Danio rerio: one gene and its partners. The protein of the gene in region 1 purifies or fractionates together with the protein of each later gene. This does not show direct contact. Links are inferred from orthologs where the notes say so. Each region holds a gene or a part of one and is shown in the gene's direction. Other genes may lie near its edges.

Region 1 (6,516 bases):
GATTCGCACAGCTGTCTTAACCTACATTTGATCTCCCTGCTGCTTTTGTGATGCAGGTACAGGGTTTGATCCTTTTTATGCACTCGTAGCTTATAATGAATAAATATTGTATTTAGAAACATATGTGGTTGTATTTGGGTGATTATTAAATCCTAATCTTTTATAAGTTTATTAAATCCTATTTTTTAAACTCTCCGTTCTTTTCACAGGAGACTGATTACAGATTCAAAAGTGAAGTTGAAGTACCAGCATTTAATAACCAATAGTTTTGTAGAGGTAATACTTCATTTCATGATATTATTGCATTGTGTACTCTTGTGTTTACTGAAAATGAATACACCCTTTGTTAATAGGCTCATTTAAAAACTGCCGCTTTTATCTTATCTTAGCATAAATCATTGAATCGGATTAGACCATTAGCATCTTGCTCAAAAAAATTCAGTCTTAGTACACAATGGAAATCCAGAAGTATCAAGCTTTAAGTAGAAAAATGGTCCAAACTTTTTGAGCGAAATGCTCACTGTCTAATCCAATTCAGTGATTTATGCTAAGCTAAATGTGCTCCTGCCAGAAATCAGCTGAAAGGACTAAGTAAAATGGTAAAATTCTGTTAAACTTTAGGGGACTTGTAAAATGAGTCTATTTCTAAAAAAGTGGATTGTTTTTTGTTTAAGATTTTTTAATTGATAGTCTCCTTGTTTTTAATTACTCAAGACATTTATTAAATAACGTTCTATGACACAAATCTTCAGATATGAAAGCTGAAATGAAATCTGATCTGTTCTTCTGCAGTGTAACCGACTGTTAAAATGGTGTCCTGCGCCCGACTGTCATCATGTTGTCAAAGTACAGTACCCAGATGCCAAACCTGTAAGATGCAAGTGTGGACGACAGTTTTGGTAAGACACTGAACCGCTAATGAGATCAGATGCTTCTGACCTCAGATCAGGTTTAGGGCTTCCACCAGCTCAGGGAAGGCCTGATCCACCCAGTAACACAAGAACTCATGAGACACATTCCCTTAACGCCACCGGTAATCTGATCCAGACATTACAGCTACCTGTTCATTTGGGAAGCAAAGAATCATTAGCATCAGAGTCACTAGTCCTTGTGCATGTTTTCTTTCCATGTAATTTTACATATTTAGAATGACAAAACAAATATAATGTTTATACAGCTGATAGGCTTTTAATTATTTTGCAGCTTCAACTGTGGGGAGAATTGGCATGATCCAGTGAAGTGTAAGGTATGTTAAGGCCTTGTTGTGGTTAACTTTTGAGCCATTTCCATTAACTGCATTAAGCGGTCACAAAAAATAATGAAAAAGGCAAAAATTTCTGTATGGATGCACAAGGGTTAAAATCTGCATCTACAACTTGAATTGCACAACACTGTGGTTAGTGTTTAAACATAAACATCATTTTTTTGAACATTTTATTGTCAACAGTGCCATGTGTGGTCTTTATTGTTTAGCACTGTTTTGGCCGTTATGTCTGCCACACAAAACTGTATTATACTCTTCCATAAATACTCTTATTTATTTTGAATGCCAAGGCCTAAATGTGCACAACCTAATATTTTTGTATTGTTGTATTAGTAGAAACCCCATTTTAGTGCCATTTAATTGACAGCACTGATGAAAAAAGTTTTTAGCATAGAAATTTTACTATAAAGCATGTTGATTTGAAAACAAGTGTTCTCTGTCTGAACAAAGAAAGCTAGCAGACTGCCACCTCTTCTGCTCTCAGCATTAAGAGGCTCTTCAGAGACTCATCTTGTTATTGTGGGGGTAGTCTTGGCAAAAACAAAGGAAGCTTCAAGTCCCTTATGCTTCTCATATGGGGATTACAATCATCTTCCACTGAGAGAGACCATTTAACCCTTCATAAGCACTGTTGATACTCCGCTTATATCTTGATGTAATATTCTGTGTCATGAATACATCACTTTAGTATCTCAAATTATTGCAGTAAAATTATTTATTCAATTGTTTTTTTTTCTCAGTGGTTAAGAAAATGGATTAAAAAATGTGACGATGACAGTGAGACATCGAACTGGATTGCAGCCAATACAAAGGTTAGTGATTAAGCTCACTTTAATGTGGTGGACACTTCCCTTCATCATTCAATGAAGATTAATGGTCAAAATGTTTGTGTTTCAGGAATGTCCGAAATGCCACGTCACCATAGAGAAAGATGGTGGCTGTAACCATATGGTGTGCCGAAACCAGAACTGCAAAGCAGAGTTTTGCTGGGTCTGTCTGGGCCCCTGGGAGCCACATGGTTCTGCGTGGTAAGTCTGGGTTTTTATTGTTTTGTTGGTTTAATGCTTTTTTCAGCTAGTAGGGCCATCCTCTGTCTGTGTTCTAAACCTTTAACTCATATTTATTTAATATAAGCTCCAAGTGAAGCAATGCCAGATGTTACAGAAAGCTACTTAAATCAAGCTACAGGTGTGATTACTTACAAGTGTCACAAATTCAGTGTATTGGTTTGATTTTTAAAATTATGCATCAATTCATTTATTAAAAATTGCTATGTTAATAACCACAATTTAGTTATTTTTTATGTTTCTGACAAGTAAATATGATTACAAATAGCAAATAACAAATGGTTGAACCAGTGCAAAAAAATAATGCAAATCAAATAAGCGTGTTTTCTTTTTTGGTTTATTAACATTAATGATTCTCAGGTTTATTTCAAGACCTGATGCACAGATCTACCATATTGCTATACATCAGATTTTTATTAGCTGAATATGTTTAGATATGTGATGTTGTTTTTTAAATATAGATAGTATAATATAATTCTGTGCATCTAACTATTCAAGCTAAAGAATGCTCCACTAAAGAGATCTTGTTGTGACAGAGAGATAGGTGACTTGCTTTTCATGCACAGATATTTTTAATTGCATATTGATCATTTATTTAATATAAAGCGCATATTGATTTGTTTTGCCATATTTTTACCTGTGCTTTTTTTTCTCTGAAAGGACATACTCAAAAAAACTAAACAAAAAAAAAGGTCCTAAGAAAGAAAAGAACTAATGTATAGATTATAATATGACAGATTAATGAAAAAGGCACGAAAAGTTTATTTATGGCATATTTCATACACGATGGTAAATCAAAGTGCTTTTACATAAACAAGACTAACAGAAACAAGAAAATAAAAATCATTCAAAAAATTTAATTCGATTAAAAACAGATTAAAATATGTTATAAATGAGTAATGTATAATAATGGTACACCATTTATTTACCATCAAATAATTTATTTTATATATAATTTAATATGTATGATAGACCTTTTTTTGTTCAAGTTTTTTTATACATTGATCAGAATTATGATGCATTTAAAAAAACAGTAATAAAAAATAAATAAGATTGTTTGTCACAGCTTTGAATATAACTATTCAACTATTTATCATTTATCAACTTTAAATAGAACTATTGTTTAAAACAAGCCCTCCATAAGAAGCAGTCTTAGCTTATTAAAGAACTGTACCTATAAAACAAATAAAAGACAGCTGGTGATGCTGGTAACCTACAAAAGCAAAAGGTGGAATTCTTAAGGCAGAAAAATATTCAATATTAAGTTTTTAAATGTTTGTTCTCTCTTGTAATATTATTAATTCCCACTAGCAGGAGTGTTGTTGATCATCTGGCAGTGTTTTTTAATTTTTTTATTTTTGAATTAGATACACCTTAAACGATCAAGAAAGCAGGCAAATGTGACTGAATTCCCCAAACTATCTCTCAGATGAACTAGTATGCTCCTCTACTACCTTCTCCCAAGGCAGCGTATACATATGATCAACAGGCTGCACTTAAACCCGAGAGCTCAAAGGCTAGCTTTCTCCTCCTCTTCGTTCCATGCAGTCATATGTTTACAGATCCCTTACAAACATCACTTATAAAAATCAAGAATGACTCATTCGATTAGGGACCTCTGAAAATCAGCCAGTATAAAGTTCTGTGATATGTTTGTAAACCGTTTTTGTTGAAATTTTACATTTGTGCACTGACGTCTGAAACATTATTAGCTAATATAAATAATGGCCAAGGTATTCTTTTTTTTTTGTTTCATGCATAAGCTTTGTGTTTTCAAAGCTTTCAAAGTAAACTCAAACATACACATGCACAGCACCATCTAGTGGATTTGCTCTGTTCTTAATCTGAGAGATGGGTGAGATGGGCAAAAAAAATCCTTTTGGTCGATGTAGAGAATTATCAGAACAAATGTTGTACCTCCATATCTTTTGAAAGTTTAAAGCAAATTTTTACTCCTGTGTGGAAGTTGTAAAAAATCAAATGGTAAATGGATCAAATTTACTACACTTTTGTTATGTTCGTGGCTGTTTTTGCCACATTGACTTTCATTATAATGATCCTTTTTATGACAGCATATAATAATGCATTCCTGTTGGGAAAAGACCAAATATATTTATATATTTTTAGCGTTGAACATCAGTTGCCAGCAAAAACCCCTTACTTAGACTTATGCAAAAAAGTTTCTGTCTTTTATATAGCTTTCTATTGAGTAAAACAGCAAATTATTGTGTGTGTGTGTGTGTGTGTGTGTGTGTGTGTGTGTGTGTGTGTGTGTGTGTGTGTGTGTGTGTGTGTGTGTGTGTGTGTGTGTGTGTGTGCGCGCGCGCGTGCGTGCGTGCGTGCGTGCGTGCGTGCATAAGTAGAATACACTTACTATGTTTATCATGTTCTGACAGCTGAGGTGCTTTTTTTATTTATTTTTTTCTCAGACACATTAATATAAGTGCATAAAGGTCTCTCTCACACACATATTCACACTCACACTATACTCCATATAAAAGGCAGAAACTAGCTTTTTTTGCATTGCAACTTACCTTTACCCAACAGGGAAAATCAGCAACAATAAAACTGCATGATTATATGGTGTCATAGTTTTGCAATCAAATATTTTTGACAAACTATAAAGCATTTTCCCAAAATATGTGTAAAAATAGGATTTTTCACGAAAAATCATTCAATTTACTGAAACACAAAGAAAGCTTTGGCCAAATTAAGACTCAAAATCACCCCAGAGTATATGAAAACATCCCCAACAACACACAAGGGTTAAGTAATTATTTACTATCACAACAAACATTTTTTGAACAAATGAGCATTTCAAAGATCTGATGTTCAGTAGTTATTTAAACATTTGTTGAGTAAACTTTAATCTTTTGGTAGTATATATCTTAACAGAGAAAGAGGTTAATATAATTATAATTCATGGTATCAATATTCAGTAACAACATCTCTGATGATTGTTTAAATGTTTAGCTGAATCACAGACTAATTGTGTGGTTTCATATGATAATGGTATGAAAAATACTATCCTAAATAGCTGGCATTAAAAACTGGAGTAAATACAAATCAACTATGGCAAAAGCTTAATAATAAGAATTACTGTCATTATATTTCTTTACAACTTTAACACATTTAATACGCCTTGACATAATAATACATCTCATGTGTATATCTCCCTATCCTGCTGCAATAGAATGATGCAGTTACTGTTACTACAATAAATCCATCCATCTAACAGGATCATTCACGGTAGTGTTTCTCCTGTCTTTCAGCATTGTTTCACGCGGCTTTAAATCACAGAGACATTTGTGTTCTTCACCAAATTCAATCGCTTCTCTTCAGAGCTGCTCCAGTGATCAATTTTACAGCTATCCACTCGTAAATAAACTTAAACTAGCTTTGTGCTGCTGTTGGATGCCATTCAATTTAAAAGATGCACATTTTGTGTCAAAAAGTGTTTGGTTTCGCTATGAAGTATACACATTATATTGAACATTTATCAAGCAGGTGTTCTTGTCTAATCGAGGAAAAGCTATATTATTGTTAGCACTTTATCTCCTAGCCCAACTCGCACCTGTTGTAGATACACCACAGCCGTGTTTCCACTATCGCGCCTAAAGCGAGCGAGCCAAGGCCAGTGGCGTTTCCACTGTCACTTCCGGGGCCTAATCAGGCCAAAGCGGGGCTTTCTTGGGGCCAGCAGCCGGCCTTTTTCGGCCCGCCGAATACCTTGGGCCAAAGAGGGCCAGCCGGGGCTTCGGGGCGGAGTGAAAGGAGAGGCGGGCACAGTTTTCCGATCGCACACGAGTACATGCGCCAAACACATAAACAAATAAATGAATAAATAAATAAGGGAAAGAAAACATTTGGAACAAATTATAGGCTGGGGTCTTTTTTGCATATGATCGCCCTTATGTTTCTCTTTTAAATGCAAGGCTGTTGCATAAAATGATAGTTTTTATAAGTGACTTTTCTTTGCTGCATCTCTTTGATGTTTCAATAACGCATAATAATCTTTACACCATATTAAAGACACAGCAGACAGAAAAGGTTTTCAAGAGGTTTTGTCAAGTTTAATAAGTGTGTTTTTGCGCGTTTAGATGCCTGTGTATATGTGTGAGACAGAGGAAAGAGCGCTCCATTCATAGCTCTGTTGATGCCGCGCGGCTTTTTTCTTTGATTTTT
Region 2 (6,815 bases), on another chromosome or scaffold:
ATGTTGATGAGCTGTCACATTAAACTTCTGGATAATACTGTACACATGCAAACATATACCTAATAGTGATGTAAGCATTTACATTCTTGTATATAGTTAACAACGTATATAAAAAAATAACGATATCAAGGTTTACTGTCAAACTGTGGTGTTGTGGTATTGATAAGCTGTTGCTTTAAGCTCAGTTGAACAGTTTGGATAATAGTGAACAAATTAAACATAAAACTAATGGTGACAGAAACATTAATATTTTCTTATGTTATTACAAATAATTATAAAAATAAAGCAAAATTATATAGGGTTTACTGTCGCACTGTAGAAATGTGATGTTGTGGTAATGATGAGCTGTCACTTTAAGTTTAATTACAGTCTGGGTAGTATTGCAGAAATTAAGCATTTATCTAATTGTGATAACATTCGCATTTTCTTATTTGCTTACAATCATAATATAATCATTATATATATATATATATATATATATATATATATATATATATATATATATATATATATATATATATATATATATATAAATATATATATATATATATATATATATATATATATATATATATATATATAAGGGTTTACTGTCACACTGTAGAACTGTGTTGTGATAAGGATGAGCTGTTGCCTTTAGCTTGAAACTATGCACATAAAACATATCTAATAGTGACATAAACATTCACATATATTTTTACATATGTATATACAAATAAAAAAATGATTAGAGCTTACTGTCACTGTAAAACTGTGATGTTGTGGTAATGATGAGCTGTCGCTTTAAGTTCAATTATACGGAATGGATAATATTGCACACATGAAACAAATATCTAATAGTGACAAACATTCACATTCTCGAATATACCTACACAAATATATAAAAAATAAATAAAGAAAAATGTATTAGAGTTTATTGTCTCACTTTAAAAGTGTAATGTTGTGGTAACGATGAGCTGTCACTTTAAGCTCAACTGTACAGGCTGGATGACACTGCACACAACATGTGGCATAAAAGGAAATGTACACCTAGATTTCGTAACGGCCAAACACGTAACAAAGTACACCAGTAGGAAAGGTGACATGAGAACACGAGGAAAGCTAAATAAGGAAAGAAGCAAGCCGTCGCAGCGTGAGGAACTAGTTTCATTGGCAAGCTGCCATTTTCTACGTTTGGTCTGGGTTGTGCTGCCCAAACAAGTTTCTGGCTAGTACAGAAACAGGGTTGACTTCTCTCTGTTGTAACTCTGGACATCCCCTGCTGCCTGAACCGGTGATGCAGACAACTGCGGTGATCAGAAAGAGGATGCTGGAGGCCTCAATCTGGTCATGACCTTTAATTTACAATAAAACCCTCGTATGACCTTTGTGCACTTGAACTATGAATGATAAAAATCCAATAGAAATTCCAATTAGGCTTCCAGTAAATATTGCATAATCCATAAAAAAGCCAGATCTTAGATGATTTTAATGTGTATGATAATAACAATCATTTGTTTTAAAAGTATTAATAAATAATTAAGTATTGGGATTTGATTTTTGTGCATTTGTTATATATATATATATATAACAAATATTTTATATTGTGTATATATATATATATATATATATATATATATATATATATATATATATATATATATATATATATATATATATATATATATATATGAGAAAAGTGATAGAAATACCACTGATGATCATCACAAGATAAATAGGTTGTTAAACAGTGTATAAAGTCCATATTTTGTATCCAGTGGCACTGTGCTCGAGTGTTTGATCTGTTGTAACAAAGTGAAACATGTCAGAGACCATCAATAAGTGCTAGAGTAACAGTAACACAAAAAAACTGTCTTCTCTTTACTTTGACCTATATGCTATAAAACAGTAGAATCAACCATATTTTAATGTACTCATAACAAAAACTAATTAATAAAATAAACAATAATAAAAACGACCATTCTTGCAAATGTCCATCTCAACATTACCTGTATATTTATCTTACTAATGTTGTTATAAATACAAATAAACTAGCTATTGTGTCTTTACATACGTTTAAGCAACGTCAGTAAAAATCTCAGAAAGTAAACTGAAACGTCACTTGTCAGCTGTCACGCTATATTCGATCAGTTTGTGGTTGTGGTTGACGCAGTGACGTTTAACAGGGTTGTTTGCACTTTTGAGAGGATCTCTAGGGACTGTCACGGATACGGCGGCTGGACTTTGTGGCACGCTGTCACTCCACAATAAGAAACGCCCCCATTTTTAGACCATTGGCTGACGGAGCAAATGCACTTTGGCATAAAAAAGCAGACTATAGCCCTGTTTCTTCGTGCCAGATTAAATTATGTATGCCTGTATAACACTGAGGTTTTTAAACTAGGGTTCGGGGACCCCCAGGGGGCCAACAAGGGAGTGCTGGAAGTGAAGAAGAGTAAAATTAGCAAATACTAATTAATTCATAATATATTTCAACGACTGATTAAAAAAAAATACTTTTAATCAGCTAATCTAACATTATATTCAAACAAAATGAGTAACATCAAGTTATGCTTATTTAATTTATTATTTCAGAAGGCATTTCTTCTATTTTTTTTTCGTTTTAAATCTCCCTCAACATTTTATTGTAAGGTTGGAAATTAGTTTCACTGACTCCAAACTGTATTTCTAATATATATTTTTTACCTTACTGATGTATATGCAATACATTAAACTGGATCCAGAGAGTGTTTGGAACTTGCTGTTGTTAAAGAATGGCCGCGTCTTGCGAAACTCGCGCAAGAATTGGTCAACTCTCAAACATACAGCGGCACACATTTATTCTGCCTCTTCTTCTCAAACTTATAGTAAAGTTTAAGTTCTAAAAGTGGCGCGTTGTACATTACTCTGCTTCTTTGTATCCCGCCACGGTCTAAAACAGCTAAGCGGGTAACCAGATATTCAAAAACAATACGTAATCCCACAATGCACTGCTTTACAGCATTACCTCATCCCATCAGGCACCGCGAGTAGAATCTTCTGGGTGGTCGTCTAGGCAACGCGCCTTATCTGAAATTGTGACACGCCCAGTAAAACGCCTCCAGCCAATGAGAGGCTGCGCGCATTACATCATTTCTATTTTTAGTGGGGCAGCGGTAGCAGATAAGGTTTGCCTCCACGCTGGAGAAGCTCAGAGTATACAGACCTCGCCACAGTGAAACACCTCACTCAAACCAACATAAATAAGCCTTCGGCTAAGCACTGTTTATCTGCTGGTGTCTGAGAAGCGCGACAGCGGCGGAGGAAGAACTTTCTATCCGCGGAAGGCAGGAGGAGACGAGCCCGTGACACTGGCGATAACTTTACGCAGTAAGTTTCTCGCGGGACGGGGAGTTGAGGAACTTTTCCAATCCTCTCGCTTTTGTTCCAAACACCGCAGCGCTCGTTACTGAACGCGGACAGTGCTTAACAGCGCCTAAAAGACTGCTTCTGAACTAAAAGTTTCGCTTTGCCTTCTATGTCTACCAAGATGGAAACTACTTTCTACGATGACTCTCTAAACAGCGCTTTCTCTCAGCATGACAGCGCCACTTTTGGATACAACCACAAGGCTCTGAAACACAACATGACGCTCAATCTGTCCGACCCCGCGGGGAACCTAAAGCCCCACCTGAGGGCCAAAGCCAGCGATATCCTCACTTCTCCCGACGTGGGACTTCTCAAACTGGCATCACCGGAGCTGGAGAGGCTCATCATCCAGTCTAGCAACGGCATGATCACCACGACGCCAACTCCGACCCAGTTTCTGTGTCCCAAGAACGTGACGGATGAGCAGGAGGGGTTCGCGGAGGGCTTTGTGAGGGCACTGGCTGAGCTGCACCACCAGCACATGCCCAACGTCACCTCGGCTCCCCAAACTACTATCAACAGCAGCATGGCACCGGTCTCGTCCATAGCGGGCGGTGCGGTCTACAGCTCAGCCATGCGCGCTGATCCGCCGGTTTACGCGGATCTGAACACGTTCAACCCTGCTATCAGCAGCAGCTCGGCCAATCCAGCCGCGATGAGCTTCCCGAGCGCACCACCGCAGCTGCCCGTCCAGCACCCGCGCCTCCAGGCCCTGAAAGAGGAGCCCCAAACGGTGCCCGAGATGCCCGGCGAGACCCCACCGCTCTCTCCTATCGACATGGAGAGCCAGGAGCGGATTAAAGCCGAGAGGAAGCGCATGAGAAACAGAATCGCCGCGTCCAAATGCCGGAAGAGGAAACTGGAGAGGATCTCCCGGCTGGAGGACAAAGTCAAGACCCTGAAGTCGCAAAACTCGGAGCTCGCGTCCACCGCCAACATGCTGCGCGAGCAAGTGGCACAGCTCAAGCAGAAAGTCATGAACCACGTCAACAGCGGCTGCCAGCTCATGTTGACACAACAGCTGCAAACCTTCTGAGGAGAGCCGAAGGACATTTTGAGTTCAGCCACATAAACAAACTTCAGGGGCTTGATGTCTGCGATCTGGCGCGACAGAGCCCGCGGGGACCGGGACCGTCCGGCCGGCCGCGTGCCGTTAAAGGATGATCCGACTGGACTTTTGAGGAGCGCAAAACTTCACTCGGTCCGACAGAGACGCAGAGCGCATGAGACTCACTCTGTTACATGTTTTACTTTCTGACGAAATCCTTGTTCACATCGACCAGGTTGTGCATGGACCTATACGCTTCAAAGGAGCACTCAGTATTATAGGAGTAAAACAGAGACGCGACTGCCGTACAGTAGGGATACTGGCTCACCAAGCAGGACGTTGTGTCTGCTAAACTTTTGATAAAAAAGCTGCCTGACTTCTGAGCTACATATTGTACTTTTTTTGTTGTTCTTAAATTGAACGGAAATCGACTTTTTTCCTTTTGAGTTAGTCCAACTTAAGCAGTTTCTTTTTCTAAAAAAAAAGTTCATTAATGAGGTTTCACTCATTGTTATTTGTAAATATGATCAACCAGGAGTACTTAAGTTTACCATTTGTAAGTAAAGTACAATAATTTTTTATGTTTGTTTTCTGAGCACCTCAGAAACTAATCAATATTTATGAACTGTAATAAAGTATGTCAAATGAAAAACAATGTCTCTGTTGTCTTAATGGAAATGACGCTTGTGTGTGTATGTGTGTGTGTGTTCAAATTGACAAACATGTAATAACATGTTTTGGAAGAGACTGGCTGTTTTGTAAAGTCCACAGACAGGACTGGGAAAAAAGGGTGTCAAAAAACATCCTTACAGTAATTAAAAATAATAACATTATAAATACATGCTTAATTGCTAAAGGTTAAATGCAAACTTAATATAACATTTTTACATCAAAATAAAGCAGACACATAATTTGATTGACTCTTTAAATCAGTAATGCTGAAATTATCAAGTAATTATCACACAGTCAAGTACTAAATAGACCAATGCCTTTAATCATGGCCTCATTTTTGTGTCAACTGAAACAAAAGTTTATTAAGGTTAGTGTTAGCCTGCAAATATGTTAAAAAAAATTGTAGAAGTTGAAGATGTATACAAGTTTTAACAATTTAACCAGCAACAATGACTTAATATTAAATTAATAAATGGTTGAAATTTAAAAATACTCCTTATAACAATAGTGTGTTATTTAGGCTATCAAATGTTAAAACTGATGAAAATGATTTACTAACATTTATAGGCAAATAATGCTGCAAATAATAAACACCCATTGTAAATTATAGTTCACCCCAAAATAAGAAATTGACTCACTATTTGCTATTTACTCACTATATTACTTGCCTTCAAGTGGTTTCAAAGCTTAACAAGTTTCCTTATTCTGTTGAACAACGCAAAATATGAATATATAAAGAGTTTAGATGCAAAACCTCTAAATGCCATCTTAAACTTTCATCAAAATCAGCATTTTATTCAGACCCCTATGTTTCTGTCGACATATTTAATTTTAAAGACTTTCAAAAGAGTATATTCTGTGCCATAAACTTGAAAATACTGAACCTACATACAAGAGACTGATAAAAAAATTAAGAAATTTATAACAGCTTTTAGAGATTTTTGCATCTGAACTATTCATATTAGAAGAAAGCTGAAAACCTGTAACTATTGACTTCAATAGAAAAATAAATACTGTAAAAGGTAAGGATTGTCAGCTTCCACCATTATTTAAAATAAATGTTGTGTTCAACTGTAGAAACTCATAAACGTTTGAAACATGTAACTAAATTGTAAATAAATGACAGAATTGAACTTTTTGGGGTGAACTTTAAGTAGTATTATGCATGCCTTTAGTCATGGGCTCATATTTGTGTCTGCAGTGTGCAGAGACAAATGTTTTCAAGGGTCCGTTCTTATGTTTGCTTGCAAAATGTGTTCAGTAAAAGCACTTCAGTAAAATGTAAAAGCTGTAAAAAATTAGTAAACTATTATGTAAAAAATTAGAACTTACAATTTTACCCATAATAGTGATATAAACTTAGACTGTAGTCTAAGTAAATCTGTTTGAAAGAAACAACAATTATCAAAAAAGGACAATGATTCACTTAGCATTGTGGTAAAATAGTACGACACCAATATCCCTGACCGTGTTTGAGAAGCAGTTTGAGCAGTAGAACCAGAAGAGGGCGCCATTGGCCTGCGCCTGGTGAATTTAAAGCAGGCTCTCAGACAGAAATCTAGTTTATAATGTGATTTCATTTTCTCCTATTGTGTTTTGGGGCTTTTAAGACACTACTAAATTCTGCAATCTGAACCCCTGGTTTCTTATAAGCACTTTAAAAAGTAACTTTTGTCTTAGAGAGAAAAAAAAACACCTCCAATTGAAC
Region 3 (7,069 bases), on another chromosome or scaffold:
TGTAAACCCTTGAAAGAGATTAGGGCTTAAGGATCATACCTTCCAAATAGAATACAGTGATTGTTTCTAGTTAAAGGTTCACTGATTTAGATGATTAAATCAGAGTAAAACTCAATTTAACTTAATTTAATGATTAATTGAAATTTCAATTTGATTCAAAATGAGCAATGAATTGGATATCCTTGGGGCTTAAGTGTCTGGAACCGATGATAAAATCATATTTAGGTTACTGTGAGTTGATGGTGAAATAAATCTGCTGTTAAAGGTTGACCTGTTTAAACCCACTATACTTTCTTACTGTAGGAATATGTGGCGACAATTTCGTTCCTACCATAGCAAAAAAAATAGACATAAAACTAATGTTTATATGTTTCCTATTCAATTAACACAGTCAAATAGCCCTGTTTTATCTGTTTTTTTATATTGTTTGATTTTGTAATCTTGAATTTTCTGTAATTATCAGTAGTAGGTAAATAAGCCTTTCAAAATAAACATTCATCACTAAGTACTTAGGCATGTAAGCATGTATCTCAACTTTCTTTCAGATGGTTGGAGAAGATGAGTCTGAGGGTTGAGGCGGTGTGCTTTTACCCCTCCGAGCTTCGAGGTCAGTCTGTAATGGAGTCTGCCATCTATAAGAACTGCTCTATAGAAAATGCTCATTCCTTTAATGAGACCTCCATCCCAACCAAAGCCCATGAACCCAACATACCCAACCCCACACAGCCCACAGAACCATCTTATGCTAAACTGAAACTGGCAAAGACAAAGATAGCTGCGACACCAAAGAAAACCAAATCTAAAGAATTCAAACCAGAGCGAGCTCTGAAAATGACCAGGCCAAACAAGAAAAAAAGAAGACGACCAAAAATGAAGTTGCCAATGATATGAGCAATAGGATTTCTTGATTTAAACGATATAGATATCATACTAAGGGGTAGTAGTGCTGCTGATTTGTTTACGGGTAATCCAGTGCACGAGTCCATATGCCCCCATTTTTTAAAAATGAAAGCGAAAGCGAGGCTGCGGTGGGAAGAAACCCAGAGGAATAGGATCAGCACGTTAAACATGTACTCCACAACATGCTGTGGAGTACAAACCTCTTGCTGTTTCCACGATTTCAAAGTGTAGATGTGGAGTAAACATTCAGTTAAGTTTAATTTAACAAAAAAAAGCACATTAGGCCTCAAACAAAACCACAATCTCTTTTAAAGTTATACGCTTAAGTGTCTTACTAGGCTTCAGTTTATGGAACCAGGTAAACACTGCGGGGACGCTTACCTGCTTCAGCCAATGTAACCCGGTGAGCGATAAAACAATGCAGTCCTCTCTAGCACACCATTGTGTTGTCAGTAATATTGTTGTCCCGGTACTGAAATTTAAAAAACTAACATTTAACATGCTAGCATTTAAGCGCCGTTGAGCACGTTTTTAAACTCCGCTGATCTGCGGTGAAATTACTGTTATCGGCGGTGATTGTCATCAGTTTACCTCTCTTCACAAGTGCAAACACAGATACACGGACACTGGAGCGTTTTAAAGTTCAGTCAAGTCATCAGCAGATCGCTTGTCTGCGTTTGCATTCTGTAAACATTGGTGAAGTGCAGTGAACTGATGACCTTTACGACCAATCACAGTCATTTCTGTTAAGCACTGGTGGAAAGAAAACATTTGCTAACTAGTGCCATTTCCCTTAACTTAGGGGAAAATAAGGTCCGATATGCCTTTTTATTTTCACCATGCATTCAGAAAGGACCTTCGGGTCACTCGGAAAGTGGTGAAATTATAAATTTGTGTTCACTGATAAGATATAAATCCAGGTACACAACAATACGCCATCTTGGATGCCGTTCCTGTGTGACTCCAGGCGTTACTTCCAGGTTTATTTCCACTGCAGACTCTCTTTCGCTTTTAAAATGGAGGCTGTGTGAAGTCTGTAGATCATATTTTTTCTTAAGTAACTATTGTCTTTAAATGCTTTAACTGCTTATGCTGGCTTGCCCACACTAAGAGATAACGATAAATATATACATATTGATGACTATATTGTTAGGATTAAGTAGTCGTACATGTGTGTTTTTTTGTTTAAACAATACAATTATTAGCTAGCTACTATGTGGTAGTAGCTCTGCAGATTTGTTTACAGGTAATTCTTTGGTTGAATCTTTGTTGAATCAAAATTTGTGCAATTTTAATGCATCCACACAACAATAGTGTTTTGGGGCCTCTGAAAATACTTGTGTAACGTTATATGCTTTTGTGTGTGTGTGTGTTTGTGTGTGTGTTAGTATGTATATGTATATGTATATATATATATATATATATATATATATATATATATATATATATATATATATATATATATATATATATATATATATATATTTGTCACGCACTTAACTGTATGATATTACATGTTAAGTCGGTTGAGCATTCCAGTAACGTCACTTTATATGTAAACAAATGTGTAAAATAGTGGAAAAACTACGAATTGTGTATAGTTTACATAAGTCTACATGGTAGCTGTTCGCAAAACTTGTCAAAAAAAAGCAAATATGAATATGTGAAATAAAAAAATATATAGATGGCATTTAATGTTATCTGTAAATCCTGGTAACATGTAATCTCCTGTATCATTTCAAAGCTCTGCACTTGCACTGCACTGATTTGATGTATGTTGAACACGGTCATAATTATATAATATGCAGGATTCCGACAATGTAGTTTATAATAGTGGTAGGGTATTGTAGATGGTACAAATCTGGAAACAGTGGGCCTTAGCTTCCAACAGGTTCCATGGTGTAATGGTTAGCACTCTGGACTCTGAATCCAGCGATCCGAGTTCAAATCTCGGTGGAACCTAATCTTTTAACTCGACTGTAATTTGGACTAGATTGTGTCTGATTAAACTGGAATAAAAAAAAATATATGAATGATATTAAAAACATCATAGTATACACAATTGCTTTAATTCACACGTTTACATGTAAAAGATTATAAACCGAGTAGCTGTTCACTCTCACTCTTTCTCGCGAGATCATCAGACATTAGCAAACATGGCGGCCGCGATGGATGTGGACACCCCAAGTGGAGCTAACAGCGGAGCCAGTAAAAAGCGATTTGAAGTGAAAAAGGTAAGTAATTGTGAAGTTCACGTTAATGATTGCTGTCAACTGTTTGTTCACATCCGTTTAGTCTCTTTAAAATTAAAATAACACTCTTTCACCGCGGTGTGTTAAACCCAGTTAGCATTAGCCGCGCTGCTCTTTCACATCATCATTTTAATCACCGGCCTCTATGCTTTTCATGTTTACAAAAACCTCATAAAGTGTCACAAAAATGAGTACAAGCTAATGTCAAGCAAAAATATGTTACATGCTCGCCCAATGTGCTTCTTATTTGAACTCCGATAAATTCTGCAGCGTAATCCCAGAGATTATTGAAGTAGGCCACTAAAGAACGAAATACAGCGCTGATCATTCCCAGACCTTGGCGAGTTTTTTAGGCAAGATTTGTGGACACTGCAGCCGCTTACAGCACATTCGATTCTAACCGTTTGAGGTTCATAGACGCATTCCGAACGCTCTATTCGATTATCGGTAGACGTCATTTACATGTTCCCAACGTTCGTTTCCATCACTTTTAGTCACCATAGTGACATTCCGAACATTCCATTTAAACACATTTACCCCCCTCAAAGTTCGATGCAAACATTTTAGTGAATTTCACATATTACACACGGAATTGAACATTCTATAAGTGTATACAATGTACAATAAATTATGTTATACTTATTACTTAAGTAAATTTTGACTTGTGTGCATCCTTTTTAAAAGCTAGGTACGGACATGTTTGAATGTTATAGACCAGGGGTGTCAAACTCAATTCCTGGAGGGCCGCAGCCCTGCACAGTTTAGTTCCAACCCTGCTCCAACACACTTACCTGTAGGTTTCAAACAAGCCTGAAGGACTCTATTAGTTTGATCAGGTGTGTTTAATTAGGGTTGGAACTAAACTGTGCAGAGCTGCGGCCCTTTTGGAACTTGACCCTTTTGGAGTTTGACACCTGTGTTATAGACAGATATTATACCTAATGTTACTCCATTTCATTTTCATATTGATTTCAACAATGTCAGCCATTGAAAACACCCTCCAAATGCTTGATTTTTAACAGTTTCTAGTATTGCAAACTTGTTTCAAATATTTGTTTCCAACAGTGTGAGGCGTTGCAAGCTCATTCTCAATGTTCAATTCCAACAGTTTCAGGCATCATAAACCCTTTCTGAATGTATATTTTTTGTGGAATATTGTAGTTGGTTTCCAGATTACCAATTTGTAATCTGGATTCAAAACGATCACCGTGAACGGTTTGAATTTAGATATACTTTTTAAAAAATGTTTTTAAAATAAGTTTTCATACTGTACTCGCATACTGTTTTCACAACTTATTTTCACTATGTTCCTTTACAAATGTTATGGCTGCTGGCTTCTTTTCTTCCTCATTATGATGTATAACTGAGTGGAAGCGCTGCTCATTGGTGGAGGATATTTAGGCTTAGTTTGTGTCTGTACATGTGTCATTAAGAGAAAAGGTGCTGTTAGCATTTTTAATAAAGATTATGATTATAAACTCTGCTTGTCTTGCAGTGGAACGCTGTGGCTCTGTGGGCATGGGACATTGTAGTGGACAACTGTGCCATCTGCAGAAATCACATTATGGACCTCTGTAAGTATAACAGCTGCTTTAGTCTTTTAGGTTTAGTCTAGATCAGGTGTTTTCAGCCCACGACCCCCAAAATAACAATGCCAGTGACTCGCGCCTAGCCGTGGGATGAAAACCGTGTTCAATGTATATCAAGGTTTGGAAAGGTCAAGGTTTTAAAGCCTTCAAAATTTTCTCCTATACCGTTCCTAAGGTATGAGTTCGATCTTTTTTTTACTTTTTATTTTTAGGACAGTAGTATCTCCAGAAAAGATATCCAAAGATGCCATTTTTAAATTGTAAAAATAATCAGATTTTTTTAAAACAAATGAAGACAGCAGAAGTCAATAATTCATTAGAATTATTTAGCCTGACATGTTTACTTCTCCAAAACATTTTATATGTTTCCCAAATTTACATATAGTGTGTACAAAGGGGAAAAGGGTTTTGTTTTGTACCCAGATATTTAAAAAGATTATATTTTAGAGCAGTTATCTCAATACTGTGATACTGTGAAATACTCAATACTGTGAGGTACTCAATACTGTGATACTGTGAAATTTATTTCCGAGGTAATCATACCGTCAGAATCTTATACTGGCCCATGCCTACTCACGACCCCCCAATATTCTCTAAGGTGGTGATGAATATTTAAACCTTGCACACATACCAGTAGGCCCAAATCTATTCATTGTTTAATTTTAGAGATTGCCACTGTGAGAGCTTGCTCCATGTTCTGTTGTAGCCTGTATTATTTTTAATGTATGTGAAAGCTGTAAAGGTGTCAAAGTTTAACCCCCACTGTGGGAACCACTGGTCTAGATGAGCTGTAGCTGATCTGTAACTCTTGTGTTTGCTTCAGGTATTGAGTGTCAGGCCAATCAGGCGTCTGCCACCTCAGAGGAGTGTACGGTGGCCTGGGGAGTCTGCAATGTGAGTATAATCACACACACTTTGAGCTCTGGGTTTGTTTGGTGCTGGTGTAATGCTGGTGTGTTTGTTTTTGTGTGTGTCTGCAGCACGCTTTTCATTTCCACTGCATCTCCCGCTGGCTGAAGACCAGACAAGTGTGTCCACTGGACAACAGAGAGTGGGAGTTTCAGAAGTAAGTCTTTTTGATTCTTCATTCAAATCAAGTCAAATTCACAAGCTTCGTGTAAGGGATAGGTCTCAAACTCAATTCCTGGAGAGCCGCAGCTCTGCACAGTTTTGCTCCAACCCTATTTAAACACAGCTAATCCAACTAATGAAAGTGTTCAAGAGTAGTCTTGAACCTTAATTATATGGATCAGCTGTGTTTGATTATGGTTGGAGCAAATCTGTGGAATCCCTCCAGGAATTGAGTTGGAGACCTATGATGTAAGGGATAAAGTACATCCAGACGGTTATCACAGAATCAAGCCCAACATTCTTTGTGGATTAAAGGCTTTATTCTGTGATGATGCCTGCCTGGTTGTACTTTATTCCACTTATTATACAGCTACTTGGCACAAAACATAAAAAATAGATTTAAAGCATTGTTCTTCCAATCTTCCATTGTAGAGTCAGAAGATTTGAATATGTAATGTAAGTTAATGAGTCAGCTATATTTTAGATGCAGTATTGTACTTTATTTCCTGTACCACAGCAGACAATATTTAAAACAAACTAAACAGTTTAGTTTCATTCCTGAATGAATCTATTTTTGAATGAATCATTTAAGTGATGCAATGATCCATTCATTAGCACAGATTTCTAAACCTATCAGCTGCTTTGTTACACTTGGCTCAAAGATGTAGCATTAGGGGAGACGACACAGTGAAATAAAGTCCAAAATAATATTTATCCTAACACAATTGTAAATAACAAATCAAAACAGCAGTATCTGTATGTTCAATCAGTGTGAAAAGCAAGTGAATGATTGTTGTCAGCGCTAGTGCATGGATGCAAAACAAAACCTAAAGCCCAAATTGGAGTGCAGCTCTGGCCAACTGCCCAAACAGTGAATGAACAGTGGGCCTGATAAACTTTCTCACTGATTTAAAATTTCCTCTGTTTCCCCACACTCAAGTGGTTCTACACTTAAATTAGTTTTTCTTTCTTCTTCTCGATACAAACAAGATAATCTGAAGAATTTAGGGGAAAAAACAAGCATTTACATCTATAGTATGAACAAAAATAAAATAAAAAACACTATGGAAGTCAATGGCTGCTTTCCACCAACATTTATCAGTAAAGCTTCTTTTGTTTTCAGCGGAAAAAAGAAACTCAAACGGGGCTAAAAGTAGAGGATAACACATTTTCATTTTTGCATGAACTATTCCATTAAGACAGGAGCCGTGTCTGAAATTGCTCCATATTCACTAGATGTGGGGTGTACACCATTTG

The links.
Region 2: the proteins of arih1 (region 1) and jun purify together in Homo sapiens (affinity purification with mass spectrometry; 3 studies listed by BioGRID and IntAct, counting the BioPlex papers as one, with this or other methods). This does not show direct contact. The link is inferred for Danio rerio from reciprocal best matches to the Homo sapiens genes ARIH1 and JUN.
Region 3: the proteins of arih1 (region 1) and rbx1 purify together in Homo sapiens (affinity purification with mass spectrometry; 3 studies listed by BioGRID and IntAct, with this or other methods). This does not show direct contact. The link is inferred for Danio rerio from reciprocal best matches to the Homo sapiens genes ARIH1 and RBX1.

Annotation. Positions count from the first base shown.
Region 1 is NC_133193.1:20,274,275-20,280,790, forward strand, and holds part of arih1 (E3 ubiquitin-protein ligase arih1), read left to right. Parts: intron 1-209; coding exon 210-276; intron 277-792; coding exon 793-899; intron 900-1,203; coding exon 1,204-1,246; intron 1,247-2,004; coding exon 2,005-2,076; intron 2,077-2,161; coding exon 2,162-2,292; intron 2,293-6,516. UniProt on the Homo sapiens protein: E3 ubiquitin-protein ligase, which catalyzes ubiquitination of target proteins together with ubiquitin-conjugating enzyme E2 UBE2L3.
Region 2 is NC_133195.1:16,776,648-16,783,462, forward strand, and holds jun (transcription factor Jun), read left to right. Parts: upstream 1-3,227; 5' UTR 3,228-3,496; coding exon 3,497-4,423; 3' UTR 4,424-5,087; downstream 5,088-6,815. UniProt on the Homo sapiens protein: Transcription factor that recognizes and binds to the AP-1 consensus motif 5'-TGA[GC]TCA-3'.
Region 3 is NC_133178.1:23,847,305-23,854,373, reverse strand, and holds the start of rbx1 (E3 ubiquitin-protein ligase RBX1), read left to right. Parts: upstream 1-3,021; 5' UTR 3,022-3,056; coding exon 3,057-3,134; intron 3,135-4,647; coding exon 4,648-4,726; intron 4,727-5,564; coding exon 5,565-5,635; intron 5,636-5,721; coding exon 5,722-5,807; intron 5,808-7,069. Other genes in the region: chadla (chondroadherin-like protein), read left to right, coding at 546-891. UniProt on the Homo sapiens protein: E3 ubiquitin ligase component of multiple cullin-RING-based E3 ubiquitin-protein ligase (CRLs) complexes which mediate the ubiquitination and subsequent proteasomal degradation of target proteins, including proteins involved in cell cycle progression, signal transduction, transcription and transcription-coupled nucleotide excision repair.